Linked DNA regions of Mus musculus. The protein of the gene in region 2 purifies or fractionates together with the protein of the main gene of each other region. This does not show direct contact. Links are inferred from orthologs where the notes say so. Each region holds a gene or a part of one and is shown on either strand. Other genes may lie near its edges. The genes, in order: Ap1m1, Ap1s2, Ap2b1 and Ap1g2.

Evidence for each region.
Region 1: the proteins of Ap1s2 (region 2) and Ap1m1 fractionate together in Homo sapiens (co-fractionation; 6 studies listed by BioGRID and IntAct, counting the BioPlex papers as one, with this or other methods). This does not show direct contact. The link is inferred for Mus musculus from reciprocal best matches to the Homo sapiens genes AP1S2 and AP1M1.
Region 3: the proteins of Ap1s2 (region 2) and Ap2b1 purify together in Homo sapiens (affinity purification with mass spectrometry; 3 studies listed by BioGRID and IntAct, counting the BioPlex papers as one, with this or other methods). This does not show direct contact. The link is inferred for Mus musculus from reciprocal best matches to the Homo sapiens genes AP1S2 and AP2B1.
Region 4: the proteins of Ap1s2 (region 2) and Ap1g2 purify together in Homo sapiens (affinity purification with mass spectrometry; 3 studies listed by BioGRID and IntAct, counting the BioPlex papers as one, with this or other methods). This does not show direct contact. The link is inferred for Mus musculus from reciprocal best matches to the Homo sapiens genes AP1S2 and AP1G2.

Annotation. Positions count from the first base shown.
Region 1 is NC_000074.6:72,252,922-72,257,559, forward strand, and holds the end of Ap1m1 (AP-1 complex subunit mu-1), read left to right. Parts: coding exon 1-56; intron 57-287; coding exon 288-359; intron 360-553; coding exon 554-712; intron 713-2,775; coding exon 2,776-2,901; intron 2,902-3,185; coding exon 3,186-3,261; intron 3,262-3,813; coding exon 3,814-3,836; 3' UTR 3,837-4,465; downstream 4,466-4,638. UniProt on the Homo sapiens protein: Subunit of clathrin-associated adaptor protein complex 1 that plays a role in protein sorting in the trans-Golgi network (TGN) and endosomes.
Region 2 is NC_000086.7:163,906,942-163,912,311, forward strand, and holds the start of Ap1s2 (AP-1 complex subunit sigma-2), read left to right. Parts: upstream 1-2,075; 5' UTR 2,076-2,332; exon of another isoform or gene 2,333-2,357; intron 2,358-2,469; exon of another isoform or gene 2,470-2,706; intron 2,707-4,387; coding exon 4,388-4,566; intron 4,567-5,370. UniProt on the Homo sapiens protein: Subunit of clathrin-associated adaptor protein complex 1 that plays a role in protein sorting in the late-Golgi/trans-Golgi network (TGN) and/or endosomes.
Region 3 is NC_000077.6:83,396,072-83,400,709, reverse strand, and holds part of Ap2b1 (AP-2 complex subunit beta), read right to left. Parts: exon of another isoform or gene 3,940-4,638; intron 2,956-3,939; coding exon 2,801-2,955; intron 1-2,800. UniProt on the Homo sapiens protein: Component of the adaptor protein complex 2 (AP-2). Adaptor protein complexes function in protein transport via transport vesicles in different membrane traffic pathways.
Region 4 is NC_000080.6:55,097,527-55,101,294, reverse strand, and holds the end of Ap1g2 (AP-1 complex subunit gamma-like 2), read left to right. Parts: intron 1-119; coding exon 120-224; intron 225-517; coding exon 518-644; intron 645-725; coding exon 726-876; intron 877-1,429; coding exon 1,430-1,593; intron 1,594-1,956; coding exon 1,957-2,055; intron 2,056-2,133; coding exon 2,134-2,235; 3' UTR 2,236-2,460; downstream 2,461-3,768.

The DNA.
Region 1 (4,638 bases), on a different chromosome or scaffold from region 2:
CCTTCATCCCACCCGACGGAGAGTTTGAACTCATGTCCTACCGCCTCAACACCCATGTGAGTGTAGCAAATTCCCAGGCAAGTTCAACACCAATCCTCCCACATCCTCTGGCCACCTGCCTCCCAGCTCCCTATGTGGGCTGAAACCTTGACCACCACTGGCTGTACCATGGTCATCACCCTCTACTGGCATACACAGTGGTCTCCTGGAAGAATGGGGCCTTGTCTGGCCTCAGTTTTCCCTCAGTAGCATGAGACATGGTGTGAGTGCCTTCTCCGCACCCACAGGTGAAGCCTTTGATCTGGATTGAGTCCGTGATTGAGAAGCATTCCCACAGCCGCATTGAGTACATGGTCAAGGTCGGTGAGAGGAGAGGGTGGGCACCTTGGAGGCCCAAGTCAGGCGTGGGCAGTGCCTGGAATAGTCAGAATCTTTGGTGGGTAATGGGAATCCACTACCAGGCAGAGACTGTGTGGCCCTGGTAAGGTGGCTGGGGGTGGCCAGACTCCCTTCCTTGCATCATCCAGAGCCTCTGCCTGGGGCCTCCTTGCAGGCCAAGAGCCAGTTCAAGAGGCGGTCAACAGCCAACAATGTAGAGATCCATATACCAGTCCCCAACGATGCTGATTCACCCAAGTTCAAGACTACAGTGGGGAGTGTCAAGTGGGTCCCTGAAAACAGTGAGATCGTGTGGTCCGTCAAGTCCTTTCCGGTGAGCCCCATATTTGCCAGGTACCCCAAAATATCTTCCCAAGACCCATCCCTGTGCCACCTTGGGAAAGGTGTTTCCTTTCAGTGAGGGGCAGTCCTGCTTAGTGGCATCCTGGTCCCAGGAACACTGCAGCCCCTCTCTGTACCCTACAGGACTAGGGGAGAGCTGGCTATAGATCCATCCCAGGAGAGCTTTCACTTGGTGCTGCAGCACAGCCACAGTGCGCAGAGGACCGCATACAGTAGGATTCCCTGGTGCACCTCCACCCTTATCTTTGTCCTCACCAGAGAAGAAATAGTGAGAGCCAGGGCTGCCTTCATCTTTCTACCCTTTCTGTGTACTGGAGATGATCCCAAGGTACCCCAAGCATGGTAGACTCTCCTACTGTCCACACTGACTTAAGGGCCTCCCAGAGTTGGGGATTATAGGTGGGAAGGATGGCCAAACTCAGGGTAGATGCTGCCTGGCCCTGGTGACCACTATTGCACTTTCCCAGCCTTTTGTCACATGGCACAGTGGCAAAGCTCATCAGTGTCCTACATATTGCTGCAGTCCTTTTTAAGGCCAGGTAGTACTCCACACCATGCCCCTTCCTTTTTCACTGATAGGCACTCTTGGTGCACCCAAGTTATGCTGCAGTGGATATTAGTGCACAGGGCTCTCCTCCATACCCTGCTTCCTGTTCTCAGGCATACACCCACAAGAGAATGATTTGCCATTAGAATTGTTAGAATTGTTTGAGGCTCTGCCTTGGTGTTTTGTGTAGCAGTGGCACAGTGTCATTCCTGCCAGAGGTGCTTAACAGTTCTGGATTCTTGTCCATCACATTTTTGTCTTTGTCTTTGAGGTTGGGTCTTACTATGTAGCACTGTTTAGACCAGGCTGGCCTCAAACTCACAGAGATCCACCTGCCTCTGCCTCCCCAGTGCTATGGTTAGAGGCGTGCTCTGGTATCTGTCCTCATGTTTCCTTGGTCTTTGATTTGTGACTGTGCACCCAAAGCAATACTGCAGCCACTGACCCAGTCCCCAGCCCAGTCACACTCCCTCCTTTAAGTTCAGTCCACTCACTGGTAATTTTTACATTAGTGTTGATGCAGATAAACATTTCTTCCAGCTCCACCCTAAATCTGTACCCATGAAACCTACAGTGTAACATGCAACACCATTTTCTACAACTTCTGTTTTCACATAGAAGTTGTTTTGTATTTTTATTTTGTAGTGACTTTGTTTGAAACAGGGTCTCCCTGGATAGTGTCAGTGGTCTGCAACTCATTCTGTAGCCCAGAGTGACCTCAAACTCTTGTATCCCAGGCTGGCCTTAAACTTGCCACCTTCCTCCTGCCCTGAATGCTGAGATTGCTAGGCCCTGCTTACTCTTGTGTTTCCTGTGAGCAGGTCTTCTCTTTCCATTTCCCCTTACTTTGTTGTTAGGCACCAGGAGTCAGAAGGCTGTTTGCTCCAGCTCCCATGCAGATGTCATGGCATCCTTTATGGATGGGAGCTGATAAAGGGGAGTTAGGCTATGGAAGCTCTGTCCTGCTGCACCCCAGCTCCTAAGCATGGTCCTAGTCACAGCCACTCCTGCTGCCCCTAAGTGTGAGCTCAGGAAACCAAAGGCCACGTGTCGTGGGTATAACAGAGTTGGGGTGCCAGACAGAGGGGACAGCCAAGCCCAGGCCTGATGTGCTACCTGGCCAGAGCAGGGCAAGTGTCTCAGCTACCTGACTGGTCCCACTCTCACACCACCTCCAAGTTATTGCTGGACTCCTGGAAACCTGCACCTGCCCACACTTCAGTGTCCTCCCTCTCCCTGTTCACAGTCCCCTTGGGGCTGTGCAGGAGGACCCACCACTCTCCCCAGTGTGCTCCCGTGCTTTCCTTGTGGACCTGTCTGGACAGTCTGGCTCCACAGCCACCTATCCGTCTCCCTAGGAGCTGGTAAAGCCACTTCACACCCTGTCTGTCCTGCTTTGGCTCCTGGGAGCCATGAGCTAGCCTGAGAGACAGCACATTGGTTGTGGGCTGGGCAGCCACCTAACTACCTCCTACATCGGCCCCCAGGGTGGCAAGGAGTACCTGATGCGGGCCCACTTTGGCCTTCCCAGTGTGGAAGCTGAAGACAAGGAGGGAAAGCCCCCCATCAGCGTCAAGTTTGAGATCCCCTATTTCACTACCTCTGGCATCCAGGTATGAATGTGTTAGGTCTGACTGCCTGAACCCCACACTTGAGCCCAAAGTCACAACAGAACCTCCAAACCCCCATCCTGACATAGGGCCTATTTCCTTGGAGCCCCTCAAACTGTGTGGATGAGGGGAGCATATTATTCCCCTGAAAGGCTCAAGGTTACCAAGCCTGGGTCTTGGCTGCCTCTGACAGCCCCTCATACAATGTCAGGCCTGCCCCCTTGGCCTTGCCTTTTGGATGAGGGGTGCTGGTGGGGGTGCAGCACACTCAAGGTCCTTGTGTCCAGGTGCGCTACCTGAAAATCATTGAGAAGAGTGGGTACCAGGCCCTGCCCTGGGTACGATATATCACACAGAACGGAGGTAAGTGGCTGCCTGACTGGCAGGACCTACAGAGGTCTTTCTAGACTGTATCTTCCTATGTGGAGCTGAGGGTGGGTGCTCTGGGTGTCTGTGTGGAGCTGAGGGTGAGTGCCCTGGGTGTCTGTGTGGATCTGAGGGTGAGTGCCCTGGGTGACCATGTGGAGCTGAGGGTGGGTGCCCTGGGTGACCATGTGGAGCTGAGGGTGGGTGCCCTGGGTGACCATGTGGAGCTGAGGGTGGGTGCTCTGGGTGTCTGTGTGGAGCTGAGGGTGGGTGCCCTGGGTGTCTGTGTGGAGCTGAGGGTGGGTGCCCTGGGTGTCTGTGTGGAGCTGAGGGTGGGTGCCCTGGGTGTCTGTGTGGAGCTGAGGGTGGGTGCCCTGGGTGACCATGTGGAGCTGAGGGTGGGTGCCCTGGGTGACCATGTGGAGCTGAGGGTGGGTGCTCTGGGTGTCTGTGTGGAGCTGAGGGTGGGTGCCCTGGGTGTCTGTATGGAGCTGAGGGTGGGTGCCCTGGGTGTCTGTGTGGAGCTGAAGGTGAATGTTCTGTTTTTAGATTATCAGCTCCGGACCCAGTGAGAGGCCTCTGCCACCAGCCCAGCCCACCTAGCCTCAGGGCACACCTGCCACACTCACCAAAACTGAAGCTAGAGGGTGGCCCTGGACATGCAGCCACCCTCTCCTCAAGCCTGAGTGGACTCACACAGAACCCCTTCCCTGGTCCCATTCTGATCCAGGGTGGGAAGGAAGGGCCTGCCAGCCTCCCCCAGGGACAAGCCAGCTGGAGCTGTGCTCCTGGTGCCTCATGACTGGCCACCCACCACCCTGTAGACGCCATCCCTGCCCACCTCCGAAGCCTCCCTTCTGTTGCCATTTTGCTGAGCATGTTGGTCATTGTCATTGTCATCTGTGGCTGTCCTGTCACCTTTCTTCAAGTGTCCTGTGCAGCTGCCATGCTGCACTTAATGAGGGCAGCTGTCCCCTATCCATGCTGGTCTGTATGCCGGATAGTTGCTCTGCCTGGGCCGGCTGTGCCTCCCTTGCCAGCCCTTGACCACATCAGTGTTTTCTCAGAAGGGCACATGGCCTCAGCCTTTGCCCTAAAATTCCTGGGCAGGCACAGGCTACCCTCACTGTACAAGGCCTCGTTGTCCTGGACCCATGTGTGTGTGTGACAGTTATATTAAAATCCATTTGTTACATCTGCTGCCTGTCTTCTCTCTGTGTGCTGTTGGTTCAGGCCCCACATAGGGACCCTGTATGACCCGTTGACTTCCCTTGCATCAAAGCAGGCCTAGCAGTGACAGGACCACACTTCCCTTCCCTGGGTAGCTGGAGCTGGAGTGCCCTTCCAAGGGACACTAGATAGAGTATCCTCTCA
Region 2 (5,370 bases):
ATCTACTGAAAAAGACCATCTGCTTCTATAAATTTTGTTCTCATATACTTGCCAAAGGAAGAGAACGTATTAACAAAATAATGGGCCCTGCTCTGTTAATTGTAGGTTGTTTGCAGTTTTGCTGTTGGTATTAGAATTTAATAAGCCATTCCTTCTGCTAAATTAATAAGCAGCCAAGATTATGTAATAGCTGCTTTCAGCTGCTAATTATTTTCCCATAATTCCTTCTCTACCCCCCAGCCCTCCCCACTTTCTCTCTCTCTCTTTTTGGCTAGGAACACAGAAATGAGACTGCCAATTTGCAAGTCTCCCATAATTTCCAGAGCTACTAACCAACATTAGTAACACATCCAATGAGTTTAAACTTGGGAGGTGGTGACTTAGGCACCCTGAGGACGTAGGTGTTTTGAACACAAAAAGGAAAGGCAGTGTTTAGAATTAGAAGGCCGTTTTTCATTGTGTAATATCATTGCTATCTTTGAACTGGCTAATGACATCTGTTTCTTGTGAGAAAGTACATTGGCATTTTAGAGGCATGTTTCAACAATAAACAGAGAAATTTGGGCCGGGGACCTAAAGACCTACCAAAAGCCAATTCTGCTTTCTATTGACCACTTTAATACTCCAGTATATTTCACTCACACACGTTTGTAGGAAACTTTCCAAGCAGCATAGTATTGCTGAAAAGGGGAAAGTATTCTAGTTTTATTTTTGCTAAACAAAAGCATATACAAAATGACCTCAAATTCCTAACGTATAAGATCCTATTACATTGGCACTCTAAGACATAAAAATGAACATTGATGTCTAATAAGGGGGTTCTTTACATTAAGTAAACACAGCTTCGCTAAAAGTGTAGCATCTTTTTTTTCTTACATTAGTTAATTTACAATTCCTGTTTAGTAATCTCTGCAAAGAAAGGCATGCCCAATGAATACTCTGTTCTGGCTTTTGTTGTAGGGACAGAGGTGACAGTAGTAATGAGTAGCATTTGACAGGGGAAATCCATGGCTGTCCAAGCAAGGTCACCTAATCCTGTGGATCTCCATTCCCCTTATCTATAAAAGATGAGTTGAACTCGATGATCCATCCATTCCACCATTCAAATAAAACACAGACATCCATCATACGCCCAGACTAAGTCAACATTTCAGCTTTTTAACAAGTCTATCATCATTTTATAATTTTATTAGACAACTCACATTTATCAGTAGTGTTAAAACCAGGCAGAGAACTAGGTTGTTAAACGAATAAAATCCAAGGTGCGCTAAACAGAAGCATGTGGGTAAAAGAGGAATTCGTTGTTCCGGGGCTTTAGGGTGAGGCTTTATAGATGTGACATTAGAGGAAGGACATGCCAAGGCGAGCGAGTCATCAGCCAAGGCTAAACTGGAACCCGGGATGGGGAAGGTGCGGGCGAGACCGTGAGAAGGAAGCGGGATCTAAAAGGACTAAGCGCTGTCTGGATTTTTTTTTTTTTTTTTTTTTTTTTTTTTTTTTTTTTGCAGCAGAGAGCGGACTACAACTCCTCCAGTCCGCCGCACTGCTGGGGGAAGCAAGCCCTGAAGAGAGGCTCTAGCAAAGCTTGTGGCGAGAAATGTCTAGGTTAGCTGGGGCTGGAAAGGAGGGGCCTCCCTGCAAACGCGGGCACGAGCACCGCGACAGCGCTGACTTGTTTTCCCCTGAGTTGCAGCACTCCTGTCCTTGGCTCCCACCATCATCGCCGACTGTCACACCTCCCCGCCCAACCCTCTGGAGACCCACGGAGTCACTGGCGCTCGGAATCAGCCCCTTTGCGGTGCGGACCATCCTTTAGCCTGCACCACGGGGTCAGCTAAGGGCGCCGCGGAGCCCCATCACCCTGCCACGGAAGGAGCCAGGACAGCCGCGCGCGCCGCGTCCCGGCAGCACAGCCCGAAGTACGCAAGCGCGCTGGCCACAGCCTAGGCCGCTTCCGGGTCACGTGGCCAGACTTCCGGCCCTCGCCACGCCTACCCTGCGGTTATTTGACCAATCGGCTTCTCGTTCTTGCCGGCAACAGCGCTCACTCTAGAGGCGGTTGGCGCCCCCTCGGCAGCTTGGCGCGCGGTCTCCGGTCCGCCTCTCCGCTCGCCGCAGCCCGGGCTCCTCCTCCGTCCAGCCTCCAGGGCGGGATCTGTCGGCTCGCCCTACCCTCGCAGCCTAAGCCTGCCCTCCACCAGACGGGTCCCCTCCCCGCGGCACCACGGCTTCCCTTCCACAGCACGGCGACGGGGGCTTCCCCTCAGCAGCTGCCGGCGCCTCAGTCTCCGCGGCCAGCCCAGCTCCGCCGCGTCCGCGGCCCGCCGCCGCCGTAAGTGCTGAAGGAGTCCGCTGAGCTGGCAGGGATGGAAAGAGGGAGTGATGGCTGGGACGCGCCCCCCGCCGCCCCGTGAGCGCCCCGACGACCCCACCCCGAGTCCTCCCGGGGCGCCGCGCCCCGAAACTCACTTCTGCCGGCGGTAGCGCTCCGCTCTCCACTCGGCAGCGCGCCGGTGATGCAGGGGAACCGGTCCTAGGTTCCGCGGGGACCCCGCGGCACCTGTGGTTCGCTGATCGCCTCAAGTTTGACGGGGCGTTTTGGGGAGGGGCTGGGGTGACGGCGACCGAGGACTTGGCGCCCCTGGCGGGCCAGCGGATGCCATTGTCTCTGCTCCACTCCTTGCCGGTCACCTCGCCCAGCTTTGGGTACTGATGGAGTGTAGTCCCGGGAGGAGGGGAGGCGTCCGAGACTGCGGGACCCCAGGGATGCTGGACCAGAGCCCACTCCAAGGCTGAGCTCATTGTTGGGTTTTTTGTTTTGTTTTGTTTTGTTTTTGTTTTAATACCAATCTGGAGAAATTGTTGTCCCGGGATTTGCGGCAAAAATCAAAGCGAGGGAAAAGGAATACTTGTGCCGCGGGTTTCGTCCCATGTTAGCACATCATTTGTTTTGAGGAAAATGCTTGGTTTCTTCGTCCTCCAAAGTGGTAGGGCGGATACTGGACCCCGCTACAGATAGCCTAGAGCACACCCCAGTCATTAGCAAACCATCTCTCCTGGTCAAGATTTAAGAAAACCGATCGGTCCCTTCCCCAAGTTCTGATAACGGTTTGCGTTCAATGTCCAGTTCTTTCGATGCCGTTCTTTTCGATGCCGCTGTCTTCAGGACTTACAAGGGTGGCACTTTGCTCTCAATGAATTATATAGTGTTGTGTGGGGTAATAGCCAATTTTAACTTTATTAAAGTTAAATGGCTACGCCATAAATATCCGGATGTTTTCTTGATGCCTTTTTGGGATATTGCGAGGTGGATTTCCTGTCTAGAGCCAATTTGATTTTATATTAGTTACGTAAATTCCTCCTCCGGGTGTTCAAATTTAAGGTTGTGTGGTGAATATTAAGAATCGCCCTTGGGTGGATCTTACTTGCACTGTCACTGTTAAAGGAACTTAAAAAGGTTAAAACAAAACACCTATCCAAATTTTACCTTCAAATTAGCTTTACAATACAGCTCGCTTTTACCAGTTGAATTATAAAATACATGCCTTAGAAAATATAGACTGACCAACAGACATGCAAATACTAAGTAAATCAATGCAAATTAGCTTCGGTATAAAACATACTCAAATCCAGCATAACATTCAAATGTGGTTTTTGTTTTAAAAGAAGTATTCTGTGCACTGTCCCAAAAATTTGTTGTTTTAAATTAAATATCTTGTGTCTCGATATGAGTAACTTTGAATAAAGCTTTTTAAGCGTGTATTCTCTTTTACATACATTAACTCAGTTCTTGAGTGCTTGTTTGTGTTGGATTTTATGAAATGCAAACATAAAAATCGGGCTTTTGTCTTTAAAATGTGTTGTTTGTGAGATCTTTTTGATTAATATTGTGATTTTGCTTAAAATATGCTAGCATAAATTGAAGGGAATGCTTTAAATGACAAGCAGTTTTTCTGCAAGAAATTCAGCCTGGAACTAGAATAGCCTCAGGGTGAAAAATAGTAGGTCTCCTCTTCCTAGACATGTAAATCAACATCCTAAATCAACTACCTGATGTCTGCATTTGCCTTTAATGCACATAGAGTGGTGGAGTGTGGAACAGGTAGAAAATTGTTTCTTGAAATTATCAGAGTTTTTGTTCTTCAAAATTTTCACTCCAGCTTACCACCTGTTCTGATTTCCACACACTCTTCCACACTTACCTACATATAGTAAGATCTTTCCAATAGAATTTCCTGCTATTATAACCTGCGTAGAAATGTTGATGGCTTATTGATCATGTGTCAGGGTGTTTACTGTACCCCCAAAGCAGCTCTGAAACATCATGTGATCTTGACTGTTGATCCTAGGTAATTGTATGTAATTTTGATTTTATTTATTTTAACAGATGCAGTTTATGTTGCTTTTTAGTCGCCAGGGAAAGCTTCGACTGCAGAAATGGTATGTCCCACTGTCAGACAAAGAAAAGAAGAAGATCACAAGAGAACTTGTTCAAACCGTTTTAGCACGGAAACCCAAGATGTGCAGCTTCCTTGAGTGGAGAGATCTGAAGATTGTTTATAAAAGGTATTTTTGTTTTTTTTTATCAGAAAGGTAAAATACTGTCAAATATTAGGGTTATTTCTAATGAGGAAATTGCAGACTTTTATGTCAATAAACAAAGATTAATAAATATTAAATGAAATAAATTTAAAGGAAAACTTTCCATTTAAAAATAAGTAACTGCTATTTTGATTGCTTGCCTTAGGCTGAAGCAATAGCAGCAGGGAATCATTTTTAAATTAATTATATAAAAAAGACAGACAATTATTCCTGCTTAATCACCATTTTAGAAAAATTTAGTAAATTCATTACTGGGGTAAATAGGGTATTTTAAATTTTTAAGTACTTCGCTAAATTCTTGCATGCATAGATAACAGTGTAATAATTCCTTGTTATAACAAATCTATAAAATAATTACTGATATTTGGTATTTCTTTTCTGACTTTTAGAATTAATCTTATTCATAAAGATCCTGGACACATAGACCATCTCAGTATACAGATGTTTAAATACTTTGTGTATATATAGAATGTCTTTCCTAGTAGCATTTATTAATTTAAAATAGACTTTTTGCTGTGAAGGAGTTATGTTTAGATATGATAATTTTACCAAGGATAGATTTTTTTTAAAGTGATGTTTCAAAATAACTTGTAAAAAAATAGCTTTTTTACACAGTTTTTTCTTTAATGCTACATATCTTTATTTTGTTGGTAACCAAAAGTTTTCTAAGCAGTTTAAAAGAAATATAATTTCTTCTTTTATAGGATTTTTTTGAGGGAACATTTCCTTATTTCTTCCCCATTTCTGGTCCCCTTTGAATAATTTACT
Region 3 (4,638 bases), on a different chromosome or scaffold from region 2:
GGCAGAAGCAGCTCAATCTCGGAGTTTGAGGCCAGCCTGGACTATATAATGAATTCTAGGCCAGCTAGGGCTACATGGTGAAACCTTGTCTCAAAACCAAACAAACATACACCTGACTCCAGAAAACAACAACAACAACAACAACAATAAAAACAAAACAAAAAGGCTAAAGCAAACTATAAAGAAAACCGGGTCACTCTGTCCTACCCTAAGAGAGCATGTAATGTACAGTCTTTTTTTTTTTACTTTAATTTTTTATTAGATATTTTCTTCATTTACATTTCAAATGCTATCCTAAAGTCCCCTATACCCTCCTCCCGTATAGTCTTATTTATGTCTGTAGTTATAGTTATTTTCTAGTCTTGAAAGTAGATGTGTAAGATAGTAGCAATACGAAAAACTGGGTTAAAAGAAAAAGTCCCATTAAAAATCTTGTAAGTACTCTCAAAAAGTGTATTTTCTAAGTATTAGTTATATCTAAGAGAATGAACAGTCCATCTCAGACAATGTGCATCAGGACCCATTAATAACATCTGAACCTTAAACATCATTTGCCTATTAATATGCCCCCCCATCCCACATGATTTTGAACGAATCATTAATCATTTTCACACTTTTGATACTTGGGGTTGGACCTAGGGCAGGGCCAGGCTGACAGGCGTTCTGCCATCGAGTGATACTCCACAGCCCGATTTTTACTTTTTCCTTTGAGGCTGAGTCTCTGAGTTGCCCAGTCTGGCCTTAAATTTTCCATCTTCCTGCCTGAGCATCCCATACAGGTGGGATCACAGGTCTGTGTCACTAGGGTCAGGTCTCATTAATCATTTTTTTTTAAAAAAAAGAAATTATATTTATTTCATTTATTTGTGTGGGTATGTGTCACGATACTTGTCCTAGTTAGAGGAAAGCTGGAGGGAGCCAATTCTCTTCTTTATCAGTTTATCAGGCTTGGTGGCAAGTAACTTTGTCTACTGCGCCATCCCTCCAATCTTCTTAACCACAATTCCCTGGTCTACAACCTGGGACTAATATGCTTCCTTAACTTAGCAAAGATGGGACAATGTATACACTAATGAATGGTGAGTTTAAAAGAAACATGCACAGCTGTCTAGAAAAGTAACTAAATGGAAGTATTTTACCAGACCTGGATTTCTTAGTGAGACCCTCTCTCTCCTTTTAGCAAGAGTACAGAGGGTTTTCCTGTTCTGGGCAACTTAAGATAAATGACAGAGTAGATTTTTACTCTCTGAAAAAGACAAGACATGAGTCTGGCTTGGTGGTACAAGCCTTTAGTCCCAGAACTCATTTTAATTTCAGCATTTGGGAGGCTGAGGCAAATGGATTTTTGTTTGACACCTGCCTGGTTGAAAGAATTATTCTAGGATGGCCAGGGCTACATTTTGAGACCCTGTTTCAGAAACCTGAAACAGAAACAAAAAAGTAGCAGAGATAGAAGGGAGGGAAATCTCACAGATGCTTCCTGGGAAAGCCCAAGTTGACTGGACTCAGCAGCAGCATACACTTGGCATTCCAGCGTACGGCAGGGAGAATACTAAGAATTTCTGTTTGGGTGACACTACTTCTTTGATGCATGACAGCATAAACAACAGCTGTCAACACTAAGGAATGGGGTCACAGAATAAAAGGCTCTCTGAGTCTGATTTTTCACCTTCCTCAGAACCAGTCACTATTGAATCTTCTTCCCCTGCCAACGCCTTCAAACAACCTAAAACGAGAATAAGGTACTTCCCCATCTCAAAGCTTGTTGGGAGATCACATTTGACACCAGCACAGAGCTCAGGGCCTCGGGGACCAGTCTTTACTGCCGAGCAAAGCAGTGGTTTTTCCTGTGCAAAGCCATGCAATAACTTTTACTTCCGTTCAGAGAGATACTGGAGGAGGTTTCCCAATCTACAGGGGAAACCTATAGGGTGGAGACTTCTCTCCCTGTTAAGGAAACCATGGTTAAGACTGATTAATTAGTGACTTGTTCAAATCATGGCTTGGTGGTAGTAGTTGTGTATAGGTCTAGACATCCTTAAGGCCAAGAGCTCTGAGAGTAGACAAGGTCCAGTGTAATCAGGTGGGAAATGCTTTTTGTTTTTGTCTTTTGGTTGGAGTGTGCTGGGCACTTTGCTCTATCCTTTCTATCACGTCCCGTCCCCCTGAGACAGGTCTCTCACGGAACCTGGTGAGGCTGTCTGATCAGCAAGCTCCAGTGATCCTCTTGCCTCCTCTGAGTGCAACGCTGGGCTTCCAGCATGTGTGGTCATGCCTGCTTTTATGTGGGTGCTAAGGGTCTGAACCCAGGCCCTTCTGTTTGTACAGCAAGCACCCTTACCATCTCTCAGCCCCAGAAACACTTTTTTTTTTGAGGCAGGGTCTCAACTATGAAGTTCTGGCTAGCCTCCAATCCACAGCTATCCACCTTTCTTTTCCTAGGACTGCAGGTGTGATCATGATGCCAGCTAGAAACACTCCTCTTAACAGTTTACTCTAGTACCAAATGCATGCCAAGGAGGAGCCATCTCTGTGTGCCAGCGAAGCAATGTAACTGTCAGAGGCAGGTGGTCTACCCTGGTCTGTCCCCAGTACCATGCCTTGTAAGTCAGAAGACCACAGTGAGGAGAGAAGACATTTCATGATTGCAACACAGGACTCCCTTACTGAGTGCTTGTTTTTTGGTATCTTGGCCAGAAGTACTTCTCCAGGTCTCTGTAGTACACTAAAGAATTTTTAAATGTATGGGCTCTTACCTCTGGATTCTAACCCATCTCACACATTCTGGGAAAGGCCTTACCGTATAATTGGGGTTTCCTGGCTGGATCCGCAGCTCTGCCAAAATCCAAATGCCATTAGTGAGCTTCAGGGACTGGTACAGCATGTCCTGCCCTTCCACGTTCCTCTTGGCAATAGTGTAAACATTGTTGTTTTGCAACTTGCTGGAAACTGTGTCTAGAAATAGAGAGCCGAGACTTAAGCTTTCAGTTAAAGTCTCCAACGCACACATTCCTCTCTGCCCCTCTTGTGAACTTCACATCTCCTCGAGTTCCCGATCAATTCCAGCACATTCACATGTCCAGAGCTTCTTCTGATACAGGCAGGCAAAATGAAGGGCCTGCCCATCACGGTATCAAACAGAAAACAGGAAGGTGCACTAACACTGGAGTTTAAGAGTTACCTAGGGAGGGTCGACAATAGATAGACAGGCCTCAGGTTTACTAAGAACAAACTAAGTTCTCGGGTTAATTACTTTTCCCACTGCAGTAACAAAGTTCCCTGGCCAAAGTGACATAAAAACCGAAGGGTCATTTTGGCTTACAGTCCTGGGGTACAGCCCATCATGGTGGAAATCATGGCAGCAGGAGCGAGGGGCAGCTGTTCAACACTGCATCCAGATAGCACAAGACAAATTCTAGTGTTAACTTGTTTTCCCTTGTTCCTTCAGGTCAGGACTCCACCCAAGGAAAGGAGCCACACAGAGTTCAGGTGGGTCTTTCCCACTTCAATGAACGAATCCAGATAATCCCACACAGGGACCCCCAGAGGCTAACCTCATTTAGATAATCGCTCACAGGTGTGTCTAGAGGCTTGCCTTCTAGGTTCTAGACCCTGTCAAATTGACAATAGTAAGCATCACAATGGTAGACAGGCACAAATACTCTGATGGGGACAAAGGTGGATTTGTGGGAGTCCCCATTCAGACTCTAGTTGATTCTCATTTCTGGAACACTGCTCCCCATCCAGGAAAGTTACACTGATGATCAGATGTGCACTCCCCAAGTCACTACTACTGCACTGTGAGCCACATGGGCCTCGGTTTCACAGCTTTAGAAAAGGACAGAGCTGCACAGGTCTTTTCAAGTCAGATTTATTAAACTGGATACTTAAATTTCATTTTTAAAGCAGGCAAACAATTTTTTTTAGATGCTAGAGGAAACCATGCTTTCCAACACACAAGGAAACAAATTACTTTAATGGAAGACACAGAGAGGCCTGAAGCTATGTGAAATGACTGTTGTATGCTCAGATCCCAGCTGCCATGCGGGTGATGCCTCTGCACTCCCGAGCTCACGACAACAACAGTTTGGTGCTCCTGTGACTATATCATCAAGAGACACAATGCTCTAGAGTTAATTAAAGGTCATGTCTTTGTCTGAGATGCTGCAGTGTCAGAAACAAACTTTGAAGAGTAGCGATGATATGCCAGGTGTGTTAGTGTCTTTAATCTCAGTACTCGGCAGGGGCAGGGGCAGACAGAGCAGGAGGGATCTCTGAGTTTGTGGCCAGCCTGGTCTACAAAATGAGTTTCAGGACACCCAGGGCTACACAGAGAAACCCTGTCTTAAGGAGGAAAAAAAAAAAAAAGGCCTAGAGATGATGATAAACACAGCTTCTTTGCTAGCTCCTTATTAATTAGCTTCAGATGAGAACTCAAATTACTCAGCCTAATCCAGAATTAAACTCTCACAAAAGTATTATATTCTGGTGTGGTCTCTAGGAAAGGAAACATGATGGCCTTCACCCCATGGCAAGATCTCTGCCCAGGAAACCTCAGGTTTTTATCACTGGCTGTCTCACTTTCCCAACTGTATGTGATCAGCACCTATAAATATGTACTTGAATTTTGTGTTGACC
Region 4 (3,768 bases), on a different chromosome or scaffold from region 2:
TTTTGAGCCACATATATCAGGGGTCTCCTTACTCTGTGAGGCCTCTCCCTTCCCTCTCATCCTGGAGTGGAAGAGCAGGCCGACCGCCACTGCCTCTCACAGGCCACACGGTGGCCCAGTCGTATTCGCCAGGTGGTGTCCATCTACGGGAGCTGTGTGGACTTAGAGCTGCAACAGCGGGCTGTGGAGTATAACACACTCTTCCAGAAGTACGACCACATGAGGTGTGTCCTGAGGCCTGCAGGTAGAACTTCAGACTCTCTACTCCCAGGGCGCTCTTCAGAGCCTCTCTTGGGGGGGGGGGGGGGAACGACTCACCTCCCATCCATAGTGGATGGCAAGCTGGTTTCCCATCCTCATCTGTTGTCGGAAGACCAGCAACTGGCTTCCTGTCTTAGGAAGCCAGGACGGCACTTGTGACCCTGTGTGCCACCGCCCTGTGTCCTTGGTCTTCTTCCCAAATGCTTCTGTGAGAGCATGTGCTTCATACAGGAACCCTTGCGTTCCATCCCTTCAGAGCCGCCATCCTAGAAAAGATGCCTCTTGTAGAGCGTGGTGACCCCCACGTTAAAGAGGGAGGGAAGGAGAAGCAAACGGAAGCCCAGCCCTTGGAAGTGACAGCCCCTGCCCCCACAGAACCCCAGGTGAGGAGGTGGGAGGACCTGGGTAGAGAAGACTTATGTGGGTGTTCACACCCTGCCGTGACCTCCTGCCCTTTTTCCCAGGCCACCAAACTCTTAGATCTACTGGATCTCCTGGGTGACACTTCAGAGCCTCTCTCTTCTGGGCATGCCCAGCATCTTCCTCCTCAGACTCCTTCCCCAGGGGAAGCCTTAATTCATCTCCTTGACCTTCCCTGTACACCGCCACCCCCAGGTAGGCCTCAGCTAAGGGAGAAACATTATAGAAGTGGGGTGGAAATGGGTCTTTTCTCTCTCTGAGCCAAGGATAGGGACACCCATCTCAGTAGGCAAAGGTCCATGGCGGTCCCATCTTTAATGTACTTGTACTTCTCACCCCAGTCTGCAGGCCTGTTTCCACTCCAGCCTGCACTATCACTTCCCACTGCCCACTCTATTGGTCTCTTCAACTCCCCAAAGCCTTCCACCTCAAACCCTTAACATTTCACGTTCTTTACCCAACACCAAAAGGACTGCTACTAGCGGATACTACTCACTCTTCAGCTAAATGCCATCTGTCTACCCTCTCCTGTTTAACTTGGTTCATCACGGCCATGATTATCTTGTATTTCGTTCGATGTTTCTCTTTCCCCAACTAGATGGCCAGCCCAAGCCTTAGCTTGTCTACTTTTATCATTAGATCCGGGGCAGCTGCAGGGTCAAGACTGGCTCACTCCATTTTTACTGGCTGAGTGGCTGGGTGTTTTATCTTAAGCCCATGCACTGAGCTGCCTCTCTCCCTTCTCCAGCTCCCATCCCCAGTGTCAGAGTGTTTGAGCGTGAGGGCCTACAGCTGGATCTTTCTTTCATGCGGCCCTTGGAGACCCCTGCTTTGCTCTTAGTCACTGCCACCACCACCAACTCCTCAAAGGAGGATGTTACCCACTTCGTTTGCCAGGCAGCTGTGCCCAAGGTTTGAAAACAGTGGGGTTTAGCCAGGTGTGATAGTTGGTGCCTGTAATTGTAGAACTTAGAAACCTGAGGCAGGGGGACTCATTGTTTGAGGCCAACCTGCCTTAACATAGTGACTTTGAAGCCAATTTGAGCTACACTGTTTCAATAAAAGAAAAAAAAAAAAATAGCATTCAGAGGTAGCCAGGGAATTTCAGGAGAAGAGGCCAGAAAGAAATGGAGGAGGGTGGGAGGCAGAGTATAATGGGAAAGGAGTGATTGTGTTATTGGGGTGTTATCCAAAAATGTTTGGGAGCCACGGGATGTGGAGGACTGCCTGAGCCCAGGGGCCTTACAATGCTCTGCCCAAATCTCCCATGTTCAGAGTTTCCAGCTGCAGTTACAGGCCCCCAGTGGGAACACAATTCCAGCTCAGGGTGGTCTTCCCATCACCCAGGTCTTCAGAATCCTCAATCCTAACCAGGTGAGTTGTCAGACGCTGCGGGTAAGAGGGACGAAGCAATAGGAGACCTGACCCTGGTCTCTGCTTGCCTGTTTTTAGGCACCTTTGCGACTTAAGCTGCGCCTCACCTACAACCACTCTGGCCAGCCAGTACAGGAGATCTTTGAGGTGGATAACTTGCCTGTGGAGACGTGGCAGTAACCGACTGTGGTCAGTGTCTGGCCTGGGTGTCTCCAGGCTCCTGGTGTTCAAGGAACGGAAATAAAGACCCACGTAAATGGCGAAGTAAACTTTATTTAAAGGCAAACTGAGCGTACAAATTAGAAGTGCTCTGTAAACGGGTGATGACCACAGTCTTAAGAGCCCAGGGCAGTCACCCGGTGTTCCTTTAATAAAGTCTCAGGGAACGAAGGTGTTAGCTGTGAAGTGGCATAATTTGAGTGATTCTCTGTTTTCATTGACAGGCTTGGATTCTGTCAGCCTTTCTTCTCTGTGCGTAACCCTTCCCATGATGCAGCTGACTTTAATCATAAGCTAACTCATTCTGCACAGGCATAGGACGGTCCATAGGGAGTTCTCCTCAAAAGGTCACCCAAAGATCACAGGTTACCCCAAACCCGTTTAGGCCTAATCAGCTCCCTACTTTGGGGTATGTCCTAAAGTGTTTGAATAAAACTGTCCACAGAAGGGGAGTTTTGATGGCTGCTGGGGAAAGAGAGATTTACTGTCTGAAGTGGGCTCTAAGTGCTACTCGATACAGGCGGGGTCCTGGCTGCACTGTTAGAAGAATGTGTGTGCATGGTGCGTGCAGCTGAGGGTCCTAAGATGCCAAGTGGCAGTGAGATGAGAGGTGTGCATAGCTCAAACCAAGTGGAGTTCCAGGCTGCTAACCTGTTCCCTAAGCTTGCCTGCCTCATAACTGCCTCGGCTCCTCTCAAATCTTTCTGCACCCTCAGCTTGGGACACAACCCTGAGGGCCACCAGCAGGTGGCACTCAGACCCTATATTTGTCAAGGCAATATAGAGAGCCTGCCTCCTCCCCAACAAATAAAGTCTATGAAGCGTGAGAAGGGAAGAGAGGCCTGTTTTGACCTAGTTGAGAGAAAAAAAAATGTGTTAAGAGCAAGGGTGGTGCCTTCTCCACAGGAAGTATGACTTCCTGAAACCCTAGGAACCGGTCTCAACAATGACCATTTTCTTTCTACCCCTCTCTGGGTTGGAGAGCAAATGTTCTCTCTAAACTGCCACACTGAGCACTCTACCCTCCCGGCACAGCAGCAGGCCCTGAATTTCTAGATCCCTTAAGGAGTTCCTAACCTTTTCCCCACCTTCTTGCTCTTCCCTACACCCCAGGGCAGGGAAATCCCCGCTGTTTCCCCTCATCTCTAACTCAGCTGTAAGGCGGCTTCAGAGCCTCTGGCAGAATCAATGGCATCGACCAAGGGAGGGGGGGGTGGCAAGGGATTTTCCTGTGCTTAACTACTGATCACGGCTAAGTGGAAATCCTATAAACACGAGCGGAAATCAATGGAGGCTGCTTAGCGGCCAGGGGAGAGGGGCGGCCCACAGATTGCATCTGACGGATGAGGGAAGCAGCCAGGGAGGGCTCCAGGAAGGATAGCTCAGAGTGGGCGAAAGACCAGGCAGAGCTGGAGGGGAAAGTGGCTCCGTTGTAAGGGAAAGGAGCACCGTGGGTCCGGATGTGAATGGCGGCTTCAGAGTTACCTTCCCTTT